Linked DNA regions of Drosophila melanogaster. The protein of the gene in region 1 interacts with the protein of each later gene in a pairwise test. Each region holds a gene or a part of one and is shown in the gene's direction. Other genes may lie near its edges. The genes, in order: CG42288, CG12963, CG33143 and CG32204.

Region 1 (3,311 bases):
TGCTAGATTTCCCAAACCAATGGATTAAGTTATTCCAATGATGTCATATTCTTTAGTTTGCAGCATGAACAACTTAATTAGCCCTTGCTATCTTTCAACAAAACACAAACAACATGCTTCCATAAACTTTAATCGCAATTCACATTGCATGCTTATGTAACTCAGGATATTATTCCCCACAAACAAATATCCCCAAAAAATGGTTAAAGCACGCTCAGCTTTCGGTTCCCACACAACCGATCAGAATTTACAACATAATTTACTAAGCTGCACGCTGACAGTGGAACCAGAGCGGCCACGCCCCCTTGCCAAAAAGCCAAAAACAAGGCAATGTCTGTCACTTGACGCGCTGAATTTGAATTGGCCGAAACGAAAACGGAACCGGCACGAAAGACCCGGCCATGCAATTAGCTGGAGGTCATTGTGTTCGGTTCAGCGAAGTTCATTTCAGTTCAGTTCAGTTCAGTTCGATTCGAATCGATACCAGTGTGATTTCAAATCCAGTTCGGTTTCAGTTTGGGTATCGCCCAGAGTTTCCGTTTGCAATTTTGCGGTTTCAATATTGAATTGGGCGAGGCCCCCGCATTGCATTTACGCTTGACAATGTTTCGACAGCAATTTGCTCAACAAATTGCGATTAAATGTATACAATTGATTGACCATTGTTTGGCTTTCATTAGCACAAAGGAGCGGGGAAGTGCCTTTCATTCGGTGAGTAATTTGACGGCATTATAAGGGCAAATAACCGCTGATCTTGACCCCCTGACCACGCATTTACTCATATTTCAAACTAAGTAACATATGTGAATATGTTAACACGTAGTTCTCCTAATCTGTTGGCCATTGAAAAACTAACCTTCCTTGTGACTGACACTTTTTTTTTGCCTCCCCTTGACAGACTGCCATTCAATTGTCAAATATCTTTGGATCTGCAGCGTCACGATTTCCAACTGGGCGCACGACCTCAGACATTGCAGTTGCCGATAAATTGCATTGAACTTCAAAAATTGAAACTTCACGAGGGCCATTTGGCAGCCATTCGAGGGCGGCTGAGGGGGCGTGGTCGTTTTTATGTTGTAAGGGCACGTGTCAGCCTTTGGCTGCATAAAAATTTCAATCAACAACATCTGTTGAAAAATTGCATTGCGATTCCACAGTAATTGGTTTTTTGTGTGATTCAATGCAAAATGCATTTAGTTTGATTGTGAATTTGTGTCTTTTAAGGATTTTGATCCTTAATCTTAGTGCAAGATTATTATTGATTCAAATATTAAATAACTAACGCAAAAATTTTACGATCAACTGTTCCTTGCATTCTGTTGTTTTGGGCGAAATTCATGTAAAAAAAAATCACAAATTTCTGTAGCGGCATGTTTTTTAAAAAGTGCTGCTTTTTCCTGCCCCTCAACGTGGGTTGCATAATCATTGGAGCCATCTTCATAACATTTCACGTTGGGGAGCTGATAACGCATTCGGATGACACCATTTTCATCAAGCAAGTGTCCCACAAATGGTGGGCACCCGTCATCATGTCTCCGATCCTGACAATTGGAACTCTGAGCTCTATACTCCTTGTGTATGCTGCTTCGAAGGTAAGAGATTCAATTGGTTTCTTTCAAGATTCTAATGCTTTATAACATTACAAATGCAGAGCAAGCGAGGCTTTGTCCTTATGTGGATTATCATCTATGCAATTATACTATCCCTATATTTCCTAATGGCCGTTGTCCAGTTGGCCAGGTCGAAACCTTCGCCGATTATATTGGCCGTTCAGGTGTTCATCATAGGTGGGTGTTGGCCATTTTTGATTGAATATGTCTGAATAATGTCTTGATTTTCATACCCCCTAGTTGGTCTCGTTTATTCCCTGCTAATAGTGCTGGCTTTTTATCGATATTTGAGCAGTGTGGATTCTGACGATTCAATTTGATGAGTTGTAAAATAAATGTTAAACTAACGTGTAACTGAATTTAACTGATCTAGTTTACTTCTTTCAGTGTGTCCCTTTTATACAAACTAGATTTTCAACAAATTTCAGTTTCTCAGGAAAGCTTTGAAAATTGTTGTTTAAAACTTGCAGTGCGGCTGAGGATCGGATCAATCATGGCCTGTCGCTGCAAATATCTGAAGCAGATCTTTACCAAGTGCTGCTACTGCTATTCCCTGCGTTTCGGTGTGCTGCTCTTCGGATGCATTTTTCTAACCTGGTTCATTTACATCACCATCGGCACCGGCTTCATGATGGAGTGCATCTTTCCGAACGAGTATCAGAGGTCCCTTATCCCAGCACCGGCGGCCCTCAAGGCCACCATGGTCTTCTCCTTCTTCGGCATCATAGTTTCGGCCATGCTCTGCCTGGGAGTGCACAATGTATGTGATCTGTCTATTATAAATATTCCCAATATATTTAGCATATGCTTATAATACCTCATAATTTTGTAGAACAACGAGATGCTCTTCCTGCCATTTTTGGTTTTCACACCCATTTGGATAATTGTGCACATTTTTGCCCTGACCGTTTACAGCTTTAATACCATCATCATCATCCTGACTGTCATCACAATGTGTGGGTACCCCCAATAATCATGAATCTAAAGCCTAAATTAAGTATACTATTTAATGTTTTATAGTACTTTTAGTGTATGCCTGGCTGGTGGTTTGGTCCTACTACATAGAACTGCTCTTCGCCTACGAAGATGAACTGGAAACCGGTTATGTGTAATAATAGTAATAATAATGATATTTACAAATTTTAGTATGTTGAGCAAGCATTTGATGTGCCTAATAAAATAATGCATGTAGGATACAGAAATACAGATCATAATTTCGCTTGAGCAGAACTCCATACTATGTGAAGTAGACCCCATTTCGGATGTACATATTTCTCCCCGTTTAGTGAGTATTTAGCGCACATGAGACATGCCCGTGCTCTATATACACCGAAAAGACAATGGGTATCGCAGTGGTAATGACAGTGACCGACTTACCTTCGGCAGCGAGGCGAGCACCTGCTGCTTGACATCCCAAACGAGCCGCTCCGATGGGAACTGCAGACACTTGTAGACATTCAGCTCCGGCACATGGATGCGCACCAGTAGCCATCCGTCCCGCGGCTCCGGCGGCGGCTCATCGTCAAACGCACCCGACCCGGACATGGCGTCCGTATTGGCCGGGTTCTGTTTGACTTTGGGCGTGGGTGGGTGGTATGTCGTAATTTTGACGGCTTTCTATCGCACGGTCCACGAAAAAAAAACGAAGCTACTCCCGCTCCACTGGGAGATCTCCTTCTAGCCGTTCTATTCGCTTAATTT
Region 2 (7,184 bases), 1.5 Mb from region 1:
GAGTTCAGTTCGTTTTCCGTGGTGCTTCTGGTCATCATTCTCATTATAGTCGTGAGTAGCTAACGCTCGAGCCGGAAGTGGGCACTACATGATATCCGTTTCTTTATCCCAAAACAGTTCCTTTCGAATGCCTACCACAAGGCCAAGAGAGCTGGCCAGAGCAGTGATTACAGGCCTAGATCGGAGCGGACCAACGACACACGAAATGGTGAGAGGGAGCTGTATAGTACACAAATAGGCTTAGAGATACAGTTGATAACTAACTCGTAACTGGTCGCACATGCCAGGTTTATTGCCTTTGGCTATAATTAGCTCTGATTTGCTTATCTGATAGCCCAGCAGAATTACCCAAGCTGTCAGGTTGATGCAACGCTGACTTTATCTTTGTTTATCGAAATAGCTTTATCACAATTTTCCCGGGTCTTAATTTCGTATTCCCGTGGTCCTCGACTCATTTGCTGCCACACATTTCCCAGACTCGGTTCAAAATGGATCTCGTCGAGGTGTATTACTTTATATCCTTCATTCTGATATTCCTTATTTTGATAAGGGTGAGTGTGGCTGGTTTATCCTCCTGTAGAATTTTGCCTAATTCAACATTTATTAAGGCCTATATCTGTCCCAATCACAAGTGGAAGTGCGTCTGCTGCCTGCAATATCGGCACGAATCTGGTGAGTTTATCCAAGTAACTCCGCTTCTATTAGTCAAGTCTTCCAAATTAGTTTGAGAGAATCTATTGTTTTTTTTTTTTTATCAAAATCACCAGCTAGGGTCCAGTTGGGTCCAATGTATGTAGGGGTCTGCTTCTTTGCATTTATAGTGCTCATTCTCGTATTGCTACTCGCTCGGGTAGGTTGAAATCTCAACGTTGATTAGATATCATTAGTCAAATCACCCCAATCCCAAGGAGTGCTATCTGTTCATCAAGTTGAAGATCGACGAGTGGAATATGCGGGTTTATGCCCGACTTTTGCGCCATGAGATGATGTTGCGCCTGGCCATGGAAGGTAAGATCCAGGCTTTTCTGGCTATATAACTTGGCGAAAAAAAGCTGCAAAAGCTTTGCCGATAAGATAATGCCTGTTATTCGATGGGGGTTCTCCAAGATATGGGCCAACAACTTGAATCGCATTCTACGTCGTTTCTCGAAAAATACCCAACAGTCTTATTTAATCCATCTCGAGAAATGGAAGCGATCGACATATTCTACATTTCACTATTATTTTTCCTGGTGTTTGTTGTAAGTCTGCACTTTCAAAATCAGGAATATATCTTAATGTTCCTCTAACAGCTGAAGAGCACACACTAGCTTCACATATTTTGAACATATTTCTAAATATTTATATAATCCTGTAAATTCTGAGAGTCCTTTGCCACTTTTCTGTGGGGTATATTCCTGATTTTCAAAGGCATTTCGGTTGTTTTTGCTTTTATAGTTGTGCTACAACGTGAGGAATAACATGAAATCAGGGAATTCCCATGTCGGGAGTAATTTATCTCAAGGTGCGTAAGTTAGTAAGCTGTATCACAAATGTTGTAATAACTACTACACTCATATCTCTGGTTTTTCCGTTATTACTTTTGAGGATTGATATACCTTAAATATGCTTATAATCATGACTTTCGTACAGTTCAAGAGCAAACCATACTGTAATAGAGTTATATTCCTGATTTTGATTGGTGTGTTTTATAACTTTAATCACCGTCTTTACCCCCAATAGTTGTGCTACAAGAGCAGAAGGAACATCAACTCCGGGGACTACGATACCGAAAGCTTTTCGGCAGGGGGCCAATCCCCAGGTGCGTAAGTCCCGATTCAGCCCGATTGAGACCACCGATTGCGTTGGCTGTGCGCGTGTATGCCTAGTTTTAATCGCAAAATTGTATGCCGATTGATAAGGGTTGTATGTGCGATTTGGTTTTGTTTGGTGATTAGGCTGTTAGCAATGAGTGGCATTGCCTTTGCCATTTCAGCAAGGTTTCTTGTGCGCGGCGAACGGTGGTAAATCGGTGCTGTTGTCTGTTCTGGACTTCCGGTCTTAAGTTCTCAATTTCATAATGCCCTATTACGCTTTTATGATGATTGGCTGGTTCCTCATAATCTCAATTGTATGCATACTGATTCGAGTAAGTTCTCAAGTGATTTATCGCAAAATTTCAACCCCTGTCTGATGACAACGATCCCCTATTGACCCTGTAGGCTTGTTGTCTGTGCGCCACACAAAAGACTCCTAGTCGAACCAGCTCAAGTGGTCGTGGTCCAGGACGAGGTCCTGGTCCTGGGGAGAATCCAACAAATCGACAGCCCGGAAGGGTTCTGCACAGCTATAGAATCGATCAGTCAGGAGTAACCCTCAGCACAGGTGAGCAGCCATGAGTCACAAGCGTTTTTCGATAAAGTTATCTATGGTGCCTCCCTTATCGATGGGTTCGGTTGTTCGGTTAGATTCCCAATGTTCGACAGTAGCGTTAATTTATTCAGATGTACGGTCGCAGTTCGGCCATATAGATATTCCGCAAAATGGGCGACCAGTTCCGTTGGTGCGAGTTCGGTGTCCTGCTGCTCCTCTTCCTGCTGATTTTATACTTTTCCATCAGTGTGAGTTCTTGGCCCAAAACTAGTGGCTATCAATGCAAATGGAAGTGAATCCGCCAGATAATTGCAGAGATGTGTAGCCCAGAAGCGTCGAAGGAGATTGCCAGTTAGCCCGCCCTTGAGCAGATTCGTTTCCTCGTGTCCCTCGTCGCCGGGATTGAGTAGTCGTCTCAGTTGGACGCCAGGTGAGCAGCTCAGGTGGCCCGCAGTGATTTGTGGCATTCATTTTGATGGCGAAAATGTTCTTCCGCCCTTTAAATTATGTTCCTTTGTCTGTCTACAAATGAATCGCTATGAATTAATTACACATTCAGCTATATTCGCTGCTTTACGCTTGGCTAAAGTCAATGCCTTATAATGTTCATTTACAATAATGGGTTGTAAGACATGAGAAAGAAGCATTTGGTTATTATTCAATGAGTATAAGAAATTACTTAATTAGGAAGATTTCAAAGTGTCAACTGATTTTTTGAACATGGCATTGAATGAATTTAAAGAGAGAAAATTATGAATATATTTCAATACCAATTTTCCATTCGCAAACTAATCGGTTTTCTAAAATATCATATAACATGTTTTTTTTATTAGACACTTGTTTTTCTTTAAGTATACCATGTACAGATAAAAATTTAAATTAAATCTTATCTACCCCAATCTATTAAATAACAGAAAATCTGATAATCAGAATAGTTCTTGCACTGCAAGAAATTTACAATTGTTTATAAAAAAAAGTTTTCCAAACGATCTATATAATTTTCAAGTGCTTGTAGAAGTATAATCTAGAACATTTGATTTATGTGACATTTGCTTCCTTAATTAGTTTCGCGACTTTCGCCTGTCACGTGCCCGGATGACATTATCCAAAGCGTAATTATGCGCATATCTGTCAGATACAGATACTTTTACAGCTGGCACACAGGTAATAGAACGCCGCCCGACTGAGACAGCGATAGTGGCGAGGCGTATCTTATCGGACTCTGTGCGTCGAGCGCTTATCACATGGCCCTTGACACACCTGTCCGCCGCTCCCGCGATCCGCGCTCTTCCCAGTCGCCGATAAGTCTTGGCCAAAAGCTAGCGACGCGCCATATTATGACAGTTGGCCTAAGGCCTTTTCATGGAGCGAATAACATCGCCGGTGCTCGCGTATCCACGTGGATATACCGAATTTTCGGATCACAAAATGTCGAATATACCGCCGTATTTGGTGTTCTTCTTCCTGGCCTTCATTTCCTGTGCGGTCACCTTCTGCTGCCTGAGATTCTGCATTTGGGTGTGCTTCGAGGCCAGGGATTCCAGGAGTCGCAGACGCCGACATGGTACGCTTCATTCAAAACAAGCCAAATTTGACTTATTTTCGGTGGCTATCGGACGGTATATATATAGATACTTGGCCAATCAGATGGGTTTCTTGGCCCAGATAAGATTAGCTAGAAATTCGTTTTGCAGAGTTCTCAGTTTTAACTCGCCATTCAAGTGATTCGATTGTGTGTTTTTTTCTGGCGGGTATTGACACAATGGATTTTTTTATTTTCTATGTGGGGCTGTTCTTTATCTTCTTCCTGATCATGCCCATGGTCTATTTCGCTCTTCAGGTATCTGTCCACCACATTTTTGAACCTAACTTTAAGCGAGGGATATAAGTTTCCTTCCTTAGTCCTTCACTCATCACTTCTTTGATATTCCCCCAAAAGTTTATACTATGGATTATTCTGAACAAGTGCTGTGGAACCAATCCTCGGGGATTTCAAGATCCGGTAAGACGTAGACGTCGACGACAACGTCAACGCCAGCGTACTGGTATGTATTGATGGCTTGAACTGCCTCTGATGGCTTGATGTATTGATGTATTGACGGTTTTATATATGTATTGACTAACTGATACAAACAGTGACTGTGTGTGGGTGGGTTTGATGATCAAGTGCTACCATAAATCCATAAAGCCTAGAGTGTTTGTTTTGTGGACTTTCGTGATAAGCTGATTTCGAACGTCTTGCTAATATTGCAAATCAGTAACTTTGGGGGGTCAGTCTTTTGGAGAGCTCGTTGCAAAATGGAACTCATAGCCACTTTCTTTTTACGCCTGCTGATCGGCATCGTGGCCTATGCAGCCCTACAGGTGATCCTTAGATTCAGCAAATCCCTTCGATGGTGATTGGTAACCAAGTTCTGTTCTTATTCCCCCAAAGTTCGCTGTTGTTTGGATCTTGAAATGCTGGTGTTATAGACATCGAAACCATCGAATAGATTCTCGTAAGTTACACTGGCTTTGGTTTGTGTGTGCAAACCGCCGGACCGTATATATGGTATATCTGATATATGGAGTAACATTTATGGGGTAATGCCAACCAAACATGGCGGACAATCTAATCTTGGGCGACTAATCAATTGCGTGCTGAACGGCGAACTATGGGTAATACTAGTGTCTACAAAACGCAGTTGGTGGCTGTAGTTCGGCATTGATTCCTGCTCCGCGTCGTTCTAAGTCTCATCATGCACGGATCGGAGCCGACATTGGATTGGGGCAGCGGCTTCGGCCTGCACATAGCCATCTATTTGGCCCTGGTGTTCTTCTTTTTCTGCGTACTACCGCTGGCCTGCTACTACATCCGCGTAGAGAGCCAAACTCTGGCAAAGATCTGCCAGCCGCGATGTCGACGTCAGCAGAGGATTCCAGAGCACCATCGTCAGCGATACGGCATTGAAATTGGTAACGTGTGCCAATCCGAAAGTGGGCAGGAAGCCAATCTAATCGGTTAGGTTCGGGCGATTACTTTTTGGCCAGTCTTCGAGAATTGCGGAATGGGTCTGACAGCTAATCTGAGCGTCGCGCTGGGCTTTGTGTTTTGCATGTTCGCGGTGGCCCAGCTTATATACGTATGTAGTTAATCCTGCAAGCTGAGTTTATCTTAATGGCTTTGAAGTAAAGAAGCCCATAACTGATTTATCTATTTGTTAGCTGGCCAAGCGAATGCACGACTCAAGGATTCGAAATCGTCGCCAGATACAAGCTGGTATGGAACATAGCCCATTTGGGTCACACTGGTAGAAATATTATCCTCAAAAGTGTTTATTGTGTGTGTGAAATTTGGAGTGCTAATATGACTAATCAACTCGTTTTTAGAAGCCCATTTAAAATGTGCTTATCAGGTCGTGTTTAGAGCAGTGTTTCCAATTTTAATTAATTAACGAATAACAAGGTTGTTGTGTGGGTTAATCAAACTGCACATATACAAATATTTCGAAGTGTATAAAACAACTCTCCTTTAAATGACATTACCCAAATATCAATATGATGTAATCAAGTAATCTTTAATTAAATTCTTATCATTCGTCCTATGAGTTTTATATGTTTAAAGACTTCACTATTCACTATTCACTACTCACTTATTTTTCTTAACCTATTTTCAGATCGTAATGTATTCAACGCACAGGAGGATCCTTCATCGAACCGCTATGGCGACATTTTCTTCATCGAACCCGGCAGCGTGGAGGCCAACCGCATTCGCGATCAACTGGAAAAGGATGAAAAGGATTTACCCAGCTACGACGAGGTGATGCGCATGTGTAACCTGACCACTCCCACAGCAGCAGCGGCTGGAATGCCTGTTCCCCAATCGCCCCTCGGTGTACCCAGTCCCATTGGAATCGCGGCACTGCCGGCGCCACCGTATTCGGAGACAGATCCACATTCCTCGTCCGCCGCAGAAGCCACTGTCATCGCAATGGAACCGATGGAGCCATCCACCTCCCGCGCGGCACAGATTCCACCCAGCTCCGGATCTGGTCCTCCTGCTCCATTGCCAACGACAGCGGTGTGATCCGTCGGAGGCATGGATAAATTGGAACTGAAGCATTCGCCGTGCCACTCTGGGCCACACAGATGCCACTTTGTGTGCGCTTTCAGTACAGAAATGAACTTGTGTGATCTTATTGAGTACATACCTATTTAAGTTCTAGACATTAGGAGTCGCATATTGTAAATATATATTTTTAGGACATAGGATGAAAATTAAAGTGAATTATTTAATTGAAAATAATGACTTTTAACTTTGGGAAAGTTCATGATTAAGTACAATATAAAAATCGGTTCTTAATGGTAAAATACAAAATAAATTAGTTCTATGAATCATGAAAAATCAGTTCTTATCAAAAATAAATAAGTTCCATAAAGCATAAACTCAGAAATCGTGTAATCGACATTATTTAAAAATGAAAAAGTAATGGTTTCTAATTTACATACGATTAACCGCTGCCACCGTATGGCTATTAACCTTAGATTCAGCAGATTTTAAAGCTTACGGTAGACAAGTTTTATTTATTGTAATTAGTTATCAATATGTGTATATGTTTTTTCATCTTGTATTGAGAAGTCAACAATTATACAGCTAAGCGCAGTGTGAATACCGAGGAAATAAATTATAGGTGGAGTTCAGCAAAACGTTGTAGACTATCACATAGATAAACGGTATTCGTGGGATCTAAAGCTATTTACAGAGAATAAATACACTTGTAAGATTATAATAAATAGTTGTACGTAAGTTCGCAACACAATAATATCCAACGAAAAATGCACAAATGAGAAAC
Region 3 (4,722 bases), 8.5 Mb from region 1:
GGGCGGGTGATCAGGGCCACCGATCTGGAGTCATTGGTAAAGATCATCTGCTGTATCTCCGCATTGCGATGGTTGCTCGGCAGCTCCAAGTGACGTCGCTTCTTCAGGGTGGCCAACTCATAAATGGATATATACCGACCACTAATAGAAAGTTAAAAAGAGTCCATTCATTTGAACTATGTTAGGTTGAGTTATATAAAATATAAAGCATCTGAAATGAAGCTCTTACTTTTTCGAGTGCCTTTCCACCACCGCCAGTAGTTTGCGATGCGAACTTATGGATATCACCTCGGGTCGCGTATCCTCCGGCAGCCTGCAGGATTACAAGGGTTAAGATATTCCTTAACAGTTATAAAACGTGGAGTACCCACCTGAGAAACCTTTGCTTGTTTTGGACGTAGTCGTGGAACGCTAGAACTCCCTCCACCGGATAGATGACCTCCTTGGTCAGGTTGAAGTGGATGTTGCCAATGACATCCGAACGCAGTCCGTAGATGAGACGTGGCCTTATTGTCACCGTGCTGTTGGAAAGAGAGGCTCGCTTCACATCCTCCTTGTTGGCTTCGTCCATCCTCGTTGAGTGTTGTACAAAATATATGCACTGAGACCCGGGATTACAATTTTAGCTGGCAGACAGACAAATTGGAGGAACTGAAATTCGATCAAACAACCTGGGGCAAATCGTTAGGGAGTCCTGCCAGCGACAGCAAACTCCATGGCATCCATGGGAAGTGAGAGTGAGAGCCTAACAACACCAGGCTCTGGGTCTATTCCAATCTGAACGGAGCCGCGAGCGTCCATGAATAAGTAATTAAGCGCCGCTAAGTATGCTTTTAATTTAAACCCTCGAGTGACAAGGGAGGGGTCTGTGATGAAAGCTAAGCGCTTGATAAAAACAACATTGAAATTTCCGCCGAAACCGGCGCTCGTTTCCTGGCCAACAATAGAGCAACAGCCACACCGTCGCACTTGAACTCTGTCAATGCGCTTTTCGCTGAATATGGGTCTGCCAGTCACTGTGTCACTCTGTCAGTCAGTCAATCAGCCAGTCAGACAGCCAGCCAGTCAGTTGGGTCTCCAAGCATTGTGTCATCCCCCAAAATCCCCACAAGTAGTTGGCGGCTATCGTCTCCTTGGCACTGCGAACACGACCTAACGCAAGAAATTGTTAGTTAAAGAAAAGCTGCTCGGCCCCTCTTCAGCTGGGAAATTCTTGGGAAAGGGGGAAAGCTTTTGTGTCCACAATCCTACAAGTTGGATATGCCGAAAATGGTTTGAGCTCTCCCAGTTGGGGAAATAAATTGGGTGGGGAATTGGCTTGATTAATGGTTTTCCTTTCAGACAACACAATTTTCATGTGTATAAAGTATTTAATAGCAGTATTGTCCAATAGAATAATTTCAAACTCAACTACGTTGGGGTGAACTTTGGCGGTACTTTTGTGATTAATAGTTATTAGAATTAGAAAAGACATATCAGAAAGAAAATTTTTTTAAAAATATAACAACAATTTCAAATTTGTCTGTAGTTCATTAAAGATTTCCATCAAGTACACCCCCTTCGAATTAGCCATAAAATAGTCAAATAAGCATCTCCAATCCGTGCACCGCTGTCGTGGAAAGCTTTCGCTCTTTCGGCTTTCTCGGTTCAGTTTCGTTTTCATTTTCCGCTGTCCATTTCAGTAGTAGTTTTCGCGTCGGCCGCAGCACAACGAGCAAACGGAAACCGGAAACGGAAGTGAAAGCAAGCGAAAGGCAGTGGCTCCAAAGCACAGTTAATCGGGCAGAGAGCCGAGTGCAGACAACAGTCAACTGAGAACTGAGCGCAGTGAAGTGTTTGTTTTCGCCGTTATCAGTGGATGCACGCCTTTCCACCTCCGATTGCGAGTAGGGATCGGGCCAGGGACTGGGATTCCGAATCCTCATCCGCACTCGCATCAGCATCCACATCGGATTCAAAACCAAAATCAGTATTGTATCCAGGCTCGCGACCCGCACGGAGGAGGCGGCGAGCCGGAGAGGCGTGTCACTAGCAGGTGGCCGAGCCGGTTAACCAGAGTCCGACGGCAAAAAGTAAATAAAAAAAAAAAAGAACTTGTAAATTGTGTGACAGTACATAGCCTTTGAGGGCTGAATTGTGTGTGTTTTGCAGATTTCAAACGTGCCGCGAGCTGTTAAAACTTTTGTTTGTCCACTGGACGAGAGAATTTCCACACAGTTATCATTTATCTGAAGCAATATTTTTCTTTTTCATATATAACAGATAGTTGGAAGCTAGTTTATACTCAAAGTTACATTGTAATTAATATTATTATTGATCTAGAAAAACTATTAAATGGCCTTATAGCACTTTTATTGTTCTCTATCGATTTACGACTTGGCCGAATACTTGTCTGGTTATTCTCGAATGATTTGAAAACTATTTTGAAACAATCAATGCTTGGGCTTAAAAATAACTTCGTGCCACAGTTCTTACAAATGTGAAAGCCATCGGATCTCCGAATTTCTTTTCTGTGTGTACATAAGTAGGTGTGCTTGTGATTCTGTGACAGTCGCTCAATTAACAGTGAAAACTTCTGAGTCCTGAGTCCTTTGCGGCTGTTTTCAAGGAGGCAACTGAATTTTAAGCCAATTAAATTGCGCAAATCAGAATCGGAACTGGGAAAAAAGGGAACGGAAAATGTGCGATGAAAACGCAAATGAAATGGAATGGAAAATGGCCTAATGGACTCTGTCAGCCAGCAACTCAACCTGAAAAGCAGCACAGCTGTGGCAATTAAAAAGTAATTTTAATGCTCCTGTTTCGTTTGTTTTGCGAAAACAGGCAGCGAATTCACAATTAACCTGTGTGTTTTTGAATTTTTGTGTGGGTTAATACCTCGCCCTTGCACTGCTGTAAATCTTTTTCATCTCTCAATTTCCCCTGTTTTATTTGGCCATTCGAACCGTAGCGAGTCGCACGTAGTAGGTTATTATAAACAAATCGTTCTCCACAAAGAATCGTATATGTATGTATATATGCATATTTATACCGATATCCGCACATTCACCGCAACTAGAACAGGTCAAATGAAAATCGGATCGGCGGCAAAATGCCCGGAAAACGTAAATGTTCGTTTAAATTTAAATCCGTCGCAACCACAGTCGCCGCATTGCGTGCATTGCTCCACCATGTGGCAGTACATCTAGATATATGCACCGATTCTATATATGTTTACATATATATATATATTAACACGACTCGCTCCCCGTATTTGTGGACTCGCACGAAGTCGAGCAAAATGCCGCAAAGTTTGACCGATTATAAATGGAAATTTCTTCATCGCTGAAAGTTGTTTGTGCTCATTAGCAATCTGTAAATAAACAAAATTTCATCGTAATGGAATGAGTTTACGCATAAATAAAAACAGCACGAAGAAATCCATCAAAAAGTCTAAAGAACAACGTGAAGTTTTCTCATAATGGAGATCATAATAAGCTGAAGTGTACACACATCGAAAGCTATTATTTTGATTATCCCATAAAAACTTGAGTCCAATCAAAAATTCTTTCTTTACACGGTCATAAGAATAAAATTTGGAATGAAATGTTTACAGGTAACTTAGCCATTCGAACTGAGGTAATCTAATTGGCTTGTTAAATGCGAGAAGCATAAACTATTTATCTTGTCAATGTATTTTTTTACTATTTTACTGTGCTAAAAAGTTTATATTTTTCGGAGACTGTATTTTAACTTTCAAACTTTTCACACTCAACTGCGCATTGCGGAAAAGAAAAATCCTGCAGAGAATCTGAAATGATACCATGTTGAACTTTCATTGTTGCAATTATTTTTTTATCAGCTCCCATCCTCGCGAGCTTTAAGCTGAAAGTAGTACTCAATTAAAGCCAACTTTAGCCTCCCATTACGCGCTTAATTTTTTATCATCATCCTTGGCAGCCTGTTTCCCGCATTTCCCCCAACTCTTCACTGCACTCCTTTCATCAGCGACCTTCCCCACATCTTCTGTTCCCAGCATACCTGTGGAAAATCTCGCCGAAATTGGAGTCAAGTGTTTTCCCTTATTTTCTCTAGCCTTTCGTTTTTTGTTTTACCGCCAGGACATAATAGCATGCGCCCGCCCTTTCTTTCGCCATCTCTTTCGCTCCGAAACGTTTCACTTACACACACCAGTGCTCGCACTTGTACAAATATACACTCTGCACTGGGAAAAATTTCTTATTGTTCACCACAAACTCTATTTAACTTCAAGCAACACTAAATTATAGATCATGACGTGCTGGGTTTAAATTTCAGGTCATTTCCTAATTTAAAATTTTTTTGAAAATTTTACTCCTAATACGCATAAAACATATAATTTAATAATGAGCTTATTTTAAGTTGCAGTTGCTGAGACACACACTGATAGGCTTTATATGGCTCTTGGACTGGCATTATTGCTCATCCGCCATGTTGGCTTGCCAGTTTAGTCATTAGTTCCAGGTCAAATGTTGACTTTTGAGCAGTGTGCACCGGTGTAAAAGCTGAAGCGCAGCACACACAAGCCTTTGCCCCGGTATTTCCCATTTTCTCCTAGCCCTTTCCTTTCCTCTCCATTCCATTCCTTTCCTTTTGGCTTGGCTCTCGGCTTTCGGGCTTCAATTGTAGCGACCAAGTTGACCTTTTTGTTAATAGCGCTCACACACCGCGCCACACGCGACTACCAATATGCCGGGCTGGGAA
Region 4 (4,564 bases), on another chromosome or scaffold:
AGTGAGAGACCCATAAAGATTACAGATTGAGGGGTATCCCACAACCCGTGGCCCGAAACCCGCATCGGCAGCCCTTTTTTGCATGGTGCGCTCCACTTGGGGCGCAGTGTGGCGTAAAATGAATTGAGACATTCGGGCTCGCATAGAAAAACCCGGATCCTCCGGCCGAAAACCGCAGAGGTTCGGAGGTCCTTCAACAACAACTTCTGTGCTCTGCAGCGCCCTGAATGCAAAAGTGGCAAAAGTGGCAAAAGTTTTGCACCACTCGGCCGATGAACCACTTGAGCCCCCCACTTTGTTGTGCATTCAGGTGTGAAGTTTTTGGTCGGCGCACAAAAGTATGCTACAAATAATTAAATCATGCAAGGCAATTGCTGGAGTGTGTTTGTGTGGAAAGAGAGAGAGAGAGAGCGCGAGAGGGAGATGAAGAGACCGGAAACACTCGCTCCTTCTCCCTCGCGGCGAGACAAGTTCAATGCCGCCTTAAGGTCCTTGTCAGCCTGCCATCTAGTTTGATATTATCTAATCGATATTTATATTCCTAGCTCGCTGCCACCGCTCCTCCCGACCTTTCATATTCCTCCCTCGTCTGTTTTTCACGAATTGGAATTTGCATATGACACAGGAGCTGTGGACCCACAAAAACAAGGAGGCGAAAGCCTGTAAGAACATTGGAACGAGGCCGAAACGAAATCGCCAGTGGCAAAACACGCTGGCCTCTTCCATCACGCTGGTTTACTTTTTGCGATGGCCGGCATTTCCGCTTCCGCTCAAAATGCACACCGAAACGTTCAATTACGGAGCCAGAGAGAAAGTTCAACTTTAATAATTTGTTTTTTGTAAGTGAACTGTACGTTTTCCGGCACACTCTGAATCCAGTTTTTTTTTTCGAAAAAAAACAATGTTATTGGAAGTAGTAACATCAATATAATTCCATTTTTGAAAACTTTTATTATGTAGATAAATAGAGAACTATAAAAAACAGATAGCCAACTCGTACTTTAAATTTTTTTCGTGCTTTATATTACTCTTACCAGATAATTTAACAAAACCCTTGCTATAAAACAAAGGAAAGACCACGAAAAGCAACCATATGGAACCGTCAGAAACCAAAACTCACGTCGAGATAAATTGAAGTTTATTTGCTCGACTGCTTGCGGCTGCTGCACTTTTTCCAACTTTTCTTCTCCTGTTTTTGGCAGACACTATTTGCTCTTCTCACCTGCATAATTTATAAGCTAGAAATCATTTGCATGCAGTTTCCTTGCACTTTGTTTGCCTCCGTTTTCCGATTTTCCTTATTTTTTTTTTGAACAGGAAGCGTGGAACACAAGCTGCCAAGAATGTGAAATGTTTGTGTTTGACTTTGGCTTCGATATGTTGCACTTAAAACAATTGACGGCAAACAGGGGGAAGGTATCCTGTGATTTGGTCTAAACATGAAAACTGGTCAAAATGTATCTCTTCCGTTCGTTTTCCGACGCTCTCGCCAGAGGAAAGCTCTTCGGGAAAAGCTCCACTCGGATTTTCCTTATAAACGTAGAGCACTGATAAAAACTCGAGCAGTTACCGTTTCGGTCGCGTAACGACAGCAGCAAAATCCGAGAGCTGCGTTCGTCATTAAAGCCAAAACAATCAAAAACAACAAGACCGAATATATGAAAGTAACAGTTCAGAAAACAGACGAAATTCTCACCGCAACTCGCCGGTAAAAAGTGGGAATAAACAAATTGGATATACAATTAATTTTGCGCGGAGAAAAAAACTGAGCGAAGCAAACAGAAAGTGTTTTGTTAGTGCAAAGTGTGAAACTCAAATAAACTTTACAATTGGTGAATTAATAAACCGAAGCTCCACAAATGAGGTAAGTCAAAAGAAGCGTAAAAAGAGCTATAGAAGCTGAGTCAAATTAAAAAACCCCAGAGGAAATGCGCTAATTAGGAAGGTAACAAATGCTGAAAGAAGAAAAAGTTTTAATGTGCCATGAGATAAAATTAAGCAGATGGCAGCTTAAAAGTAAAAGTGGTAGGACCTATAAATGTTCAAGGATTAATCCACAACATATTTACTAAACAAATGCAACAAATAAGCCTAGCTAAATAGTCCTTAGTTTTTTACAGTTTTAATCTAAGGTCTTCAGCAACTGTTATTCACTTCAAAATCACTTTCATTTACTCTTCAAAATATACAAGTGCAAAATACCTTTTCATTTAAAAGTTGATATTCATGCACTTCAGCCCCTAACACTCGTTCAAAATTCTGCGAAGCGTACCGAAATCACATACAGAAATCACTCAAAAAATGTTTTATTTCGTCTGCCTCCATTTCACAAAAAAAAAAACGGTATAAAATCCCAGGGGGAAGTGGCAATTTAACGGCAGTTTGTACCCAGACAACCTTTAAAGCCCTGTTTCGACTGCCTTTAGCCCGCTCCGAAATGGGTCTTTTGAGTTTTGCAGCTACTGTTGGCCTGGTGGAACGTATGGGCTTAAGTTAAGCACGCAGGACCAAGGTTGGGATAAAAAATAAATTTGGAGCACGAAAAGTAAAAGCGATGCTCAAGTGGCACGGCGCTTAACACAAATTAGACGCACTTAATTACGGCCCAAACAGTCGCAGCTAGCGGTCGTAAAATGTATAAAAAATATTATTGGAACCACAACCGAGCCAACATCAGGCAAATATATTTAAGCAGTTCACCAGAGAGAGAGTGGTTTAAGAAGTGGCTGTGGGTCTGCAGGAGGGTACTTTCAATTTCGGGCATTCAGAAGTTGCGGCTTAAAACTCAATTAAACGAATTGGCAAAAATTTAATTACAATTTCAGTTTCCTTTTCGTTTTTAAAGGAGATCACCAAGGACCCTTCGCACAGAAAAAGAGCCAGGGAAAAAGAGGATGGGCGATGCGGAATGGGGCTGAATGGATGCTAGATAGACAAGGCAGCGGGCAAATTGTTTTGCCAGCTGCTGGCAAAGTTCATAAAAAACTAATAGTAATGCAAACTGAAAACAATTAACTGCGTTTATGAGAGGGAAATGACTCAAGCTCGAAATGCTTGGGATTAAAGAGAAACTTTGATAATAAAGCCATCGTCTTATGAAATATATAATTAATATGTATTATTATAAAAACAAACTTTGATTGTCATATTAACTTCAAAGAAAATGTGAATGCAAATTTCACAATTCTATATGCACACTGCCAATCTAAAATCTAAAAGCTAATGGTATTTAATATAAAAAGTTTGAACTTTAGAAAACATACAATAAGAGCTCGTTGAAATGTTCTTGTATCGAAATAAATAGTAGCTAATTACATATTTAAATTTCGAAAACTTACAAGTCTGCCCACCCATATTGGCCAACCAAAGTTTTCCCGCCCGAAGCTCAACCCTTCCGCTAATGCCAACAACTTCGGGAACAACAACAGCCATTTCCTGTTCCTCTGGGCCCCAAGTTAGCCACGTTTTATCTGCCGAACAATAGGCTCATTAGTGGAACAGGCCACACCAACGAAAATGCGCCACGCCTCTTGGGCAAACTTTTCTTAATATCAACGCTGGCTTCCGAAAAAATACATAAAATAATATTTGTGTTGCCAGTAAGTTTTAGGGGCAATTAATTCGGGCGGGGGAAACTTTAATGACCAAAAAAATCCCCAGTGAACTTACGCCATTTGCCATAATTGGAAATGAAAATATTTATTGAATTATTCAGGGTAATGCTCCAGATATTACAAGTTCCGCAATGAATTCGTTTTAAAGAACATTTAATTGAAGACAAGTCTAAAGCTTGAATCTGTTAAAGAAGAGGTTTAAGCACGGGGTCCTTGGGCCGAAAACTTTTCCATCAACTCAAGAGTTGGCCCGTCAATCGCAATTTTCAAGTAGCGACAAAGTAGCGCAGAATGAATATGCAAAATACTTCTTTGGAATAGACTCGACTTTCAGCGCCTGAGAATCCTTGGCATCAACCCCCTGAAACAAGTAATTCCACTTTATTTAAGTTTTTTTCTTTAGCAATAAACCGCTTTCGACCAGAAACGGATGCCAATGCGTTTAAGTTTAGTTCAGTTCTGTTGAGGCTAAGAAAAAAGTGCGCGAAAACTGCATCAGAATGGAAATCTAGAAAAATGCTTTGCAGACTTTCAACTGTACTTTTTCTCTCTGGGGCACTAATAAAAATAGCGTGCAAAAGTTTTGTCTTCTGCACTTCCTTGCACTAAAGTGCAAATCTTTTTCGGAGGGCTCACCGAGTCCTTATGCACTGAAAAGGGATCAATGTGTCCTCGGCAGAAAATCGAAAAGCAAAGTAAATGCACTTCACATTCAATATAACAATATACGAAGTAAATCCAATATAACGCGTTATGATCTCAGAGTAAAGAAGCATAATGTTTTCTCACTTAAGGTGATTTAATAAAGTAGTTTCACTGTTCTTTTTGCCCAAACACAATGCGTTTTAACCACTTCTGAACTTATAAAAACCATAAAAAGAGCACGAACAAAATAACGACCGAAAGTGTCAGGATCTTAATTCTTGACAGCACTTTGTGCACTTAAATTT

Evidence for each region.
Region 2: the proteins of CG42288 (region 1) and CG12963 interact in a two-hybrid assay, tested with the Drosophila melanogaster proteins (one large-scale study listed by BioGRID).
Region 3: the proteins of CG42288 (region 1) and CG33143 interact in a two-hybrid assay, tested with the Drosophila melanogaster proteins (one large-scale study listed by BioGRID).
Region 4: the proteins of CG42288 (region 1) and CG32204 interact in a two-hybrid assay, tested with the Drosophila melanogaster proteins (one large-scale study listed by BioGRID).

What each region holds. Positions count from the first base shown.
Region 1 is NT_033778.4:14,089,006-14,092,316, forward strand, and holds CG42288 (uncharacterized protein), read left to right. Parts: upstream 1-2,025; 5' UTR 2,026-2,103; coding exon 2,104-2,370; intron 2,371-2,442; coding exon 2,443-2,566; intron 2,567-2,630; coding exon 2,631-2,722; 3' UTR 2,723-2,809; downstream 2,810-3,311. Other genes in the region: prosap, read right to left, coding at 2,988-3,155; CG42287 (uncharacterized protein), read left to right, coding at 1,371-1,592, 1,652-1,787, 1,851-1,930.
Region 2 is NT_033778.4:15,555,807-15,562,990, forward strand, and holds CG12963 (uncharacterized protein), read left to right. Parts: upstream 1-1,868; 5' UTR 1,869-1,905; intron 1,906-1,979; 5' UTR 1,980-2,059; coding exon 2,060-2,128; intron 2,129-2,201; coding exon 2,202-2,364; intron 2,365-2,463; exon of another isoform or gene 2,464-2,522; coding exon of another isoform or gene 2,523-2,600; intron 2,601-2,667; coding exon of another isoform or gene 2,668-2,782; intron 2,783-3,430; exon of another isoform or gene 3,431-3,714; coding exon of another isoform or gene 3,715-3,916; intron 3,917-4,053; exon of another isoform or gene 4,054-4,114; coding exon of another isoform or gene 4,115-4,192; intron 4,193-4,291; coding exon of another isoform or gene 4,292-4,397; intron 4,398-4,625; exon of another isoform or gene 4,626-4,650; coding exon of another isoform or gene 4,651-4,716; intron 4,717-4,786; coding exon of another isoform or gene 4,787-4,850; exon of another isoform or gene 4,851-5,090; coding exon of another isoform or gene 5,091-5,307; intron 5,308-5,369; exon of another isoform or gene 5,370-5,399; coding exon of another isoform or gene 5,400-5,474; intron 5,475-5,556; coding exon of another isoform or gene 5,557-5,611; intron 5,612-6,008; coding exon 6,009-6,418; 3' UTR 6,419-6,630; downstream 6,631-7,184.
Region 3 is NT_033778.4:22,612,650-22,617,371, forward strand, and holds the start of CG33143 (uncharacterized protein), read left to right. Parts: upstream 1-1,678; 5' UTR 1,679-2,072; intron 2,073-4,722. Other genes in the region: tous (testes of unusual size), read right to left, coding at 1-141, 230-313, 372-571.
Region 4 is NT_037436.4:18,943,033-18,947,596, reverse strand, and holds the start of CG32204 (uncharacterized protein), read left to right. Parts: upstream 1-1,558; 5' UTR 1,559-1,864; intron 1,865-4,564.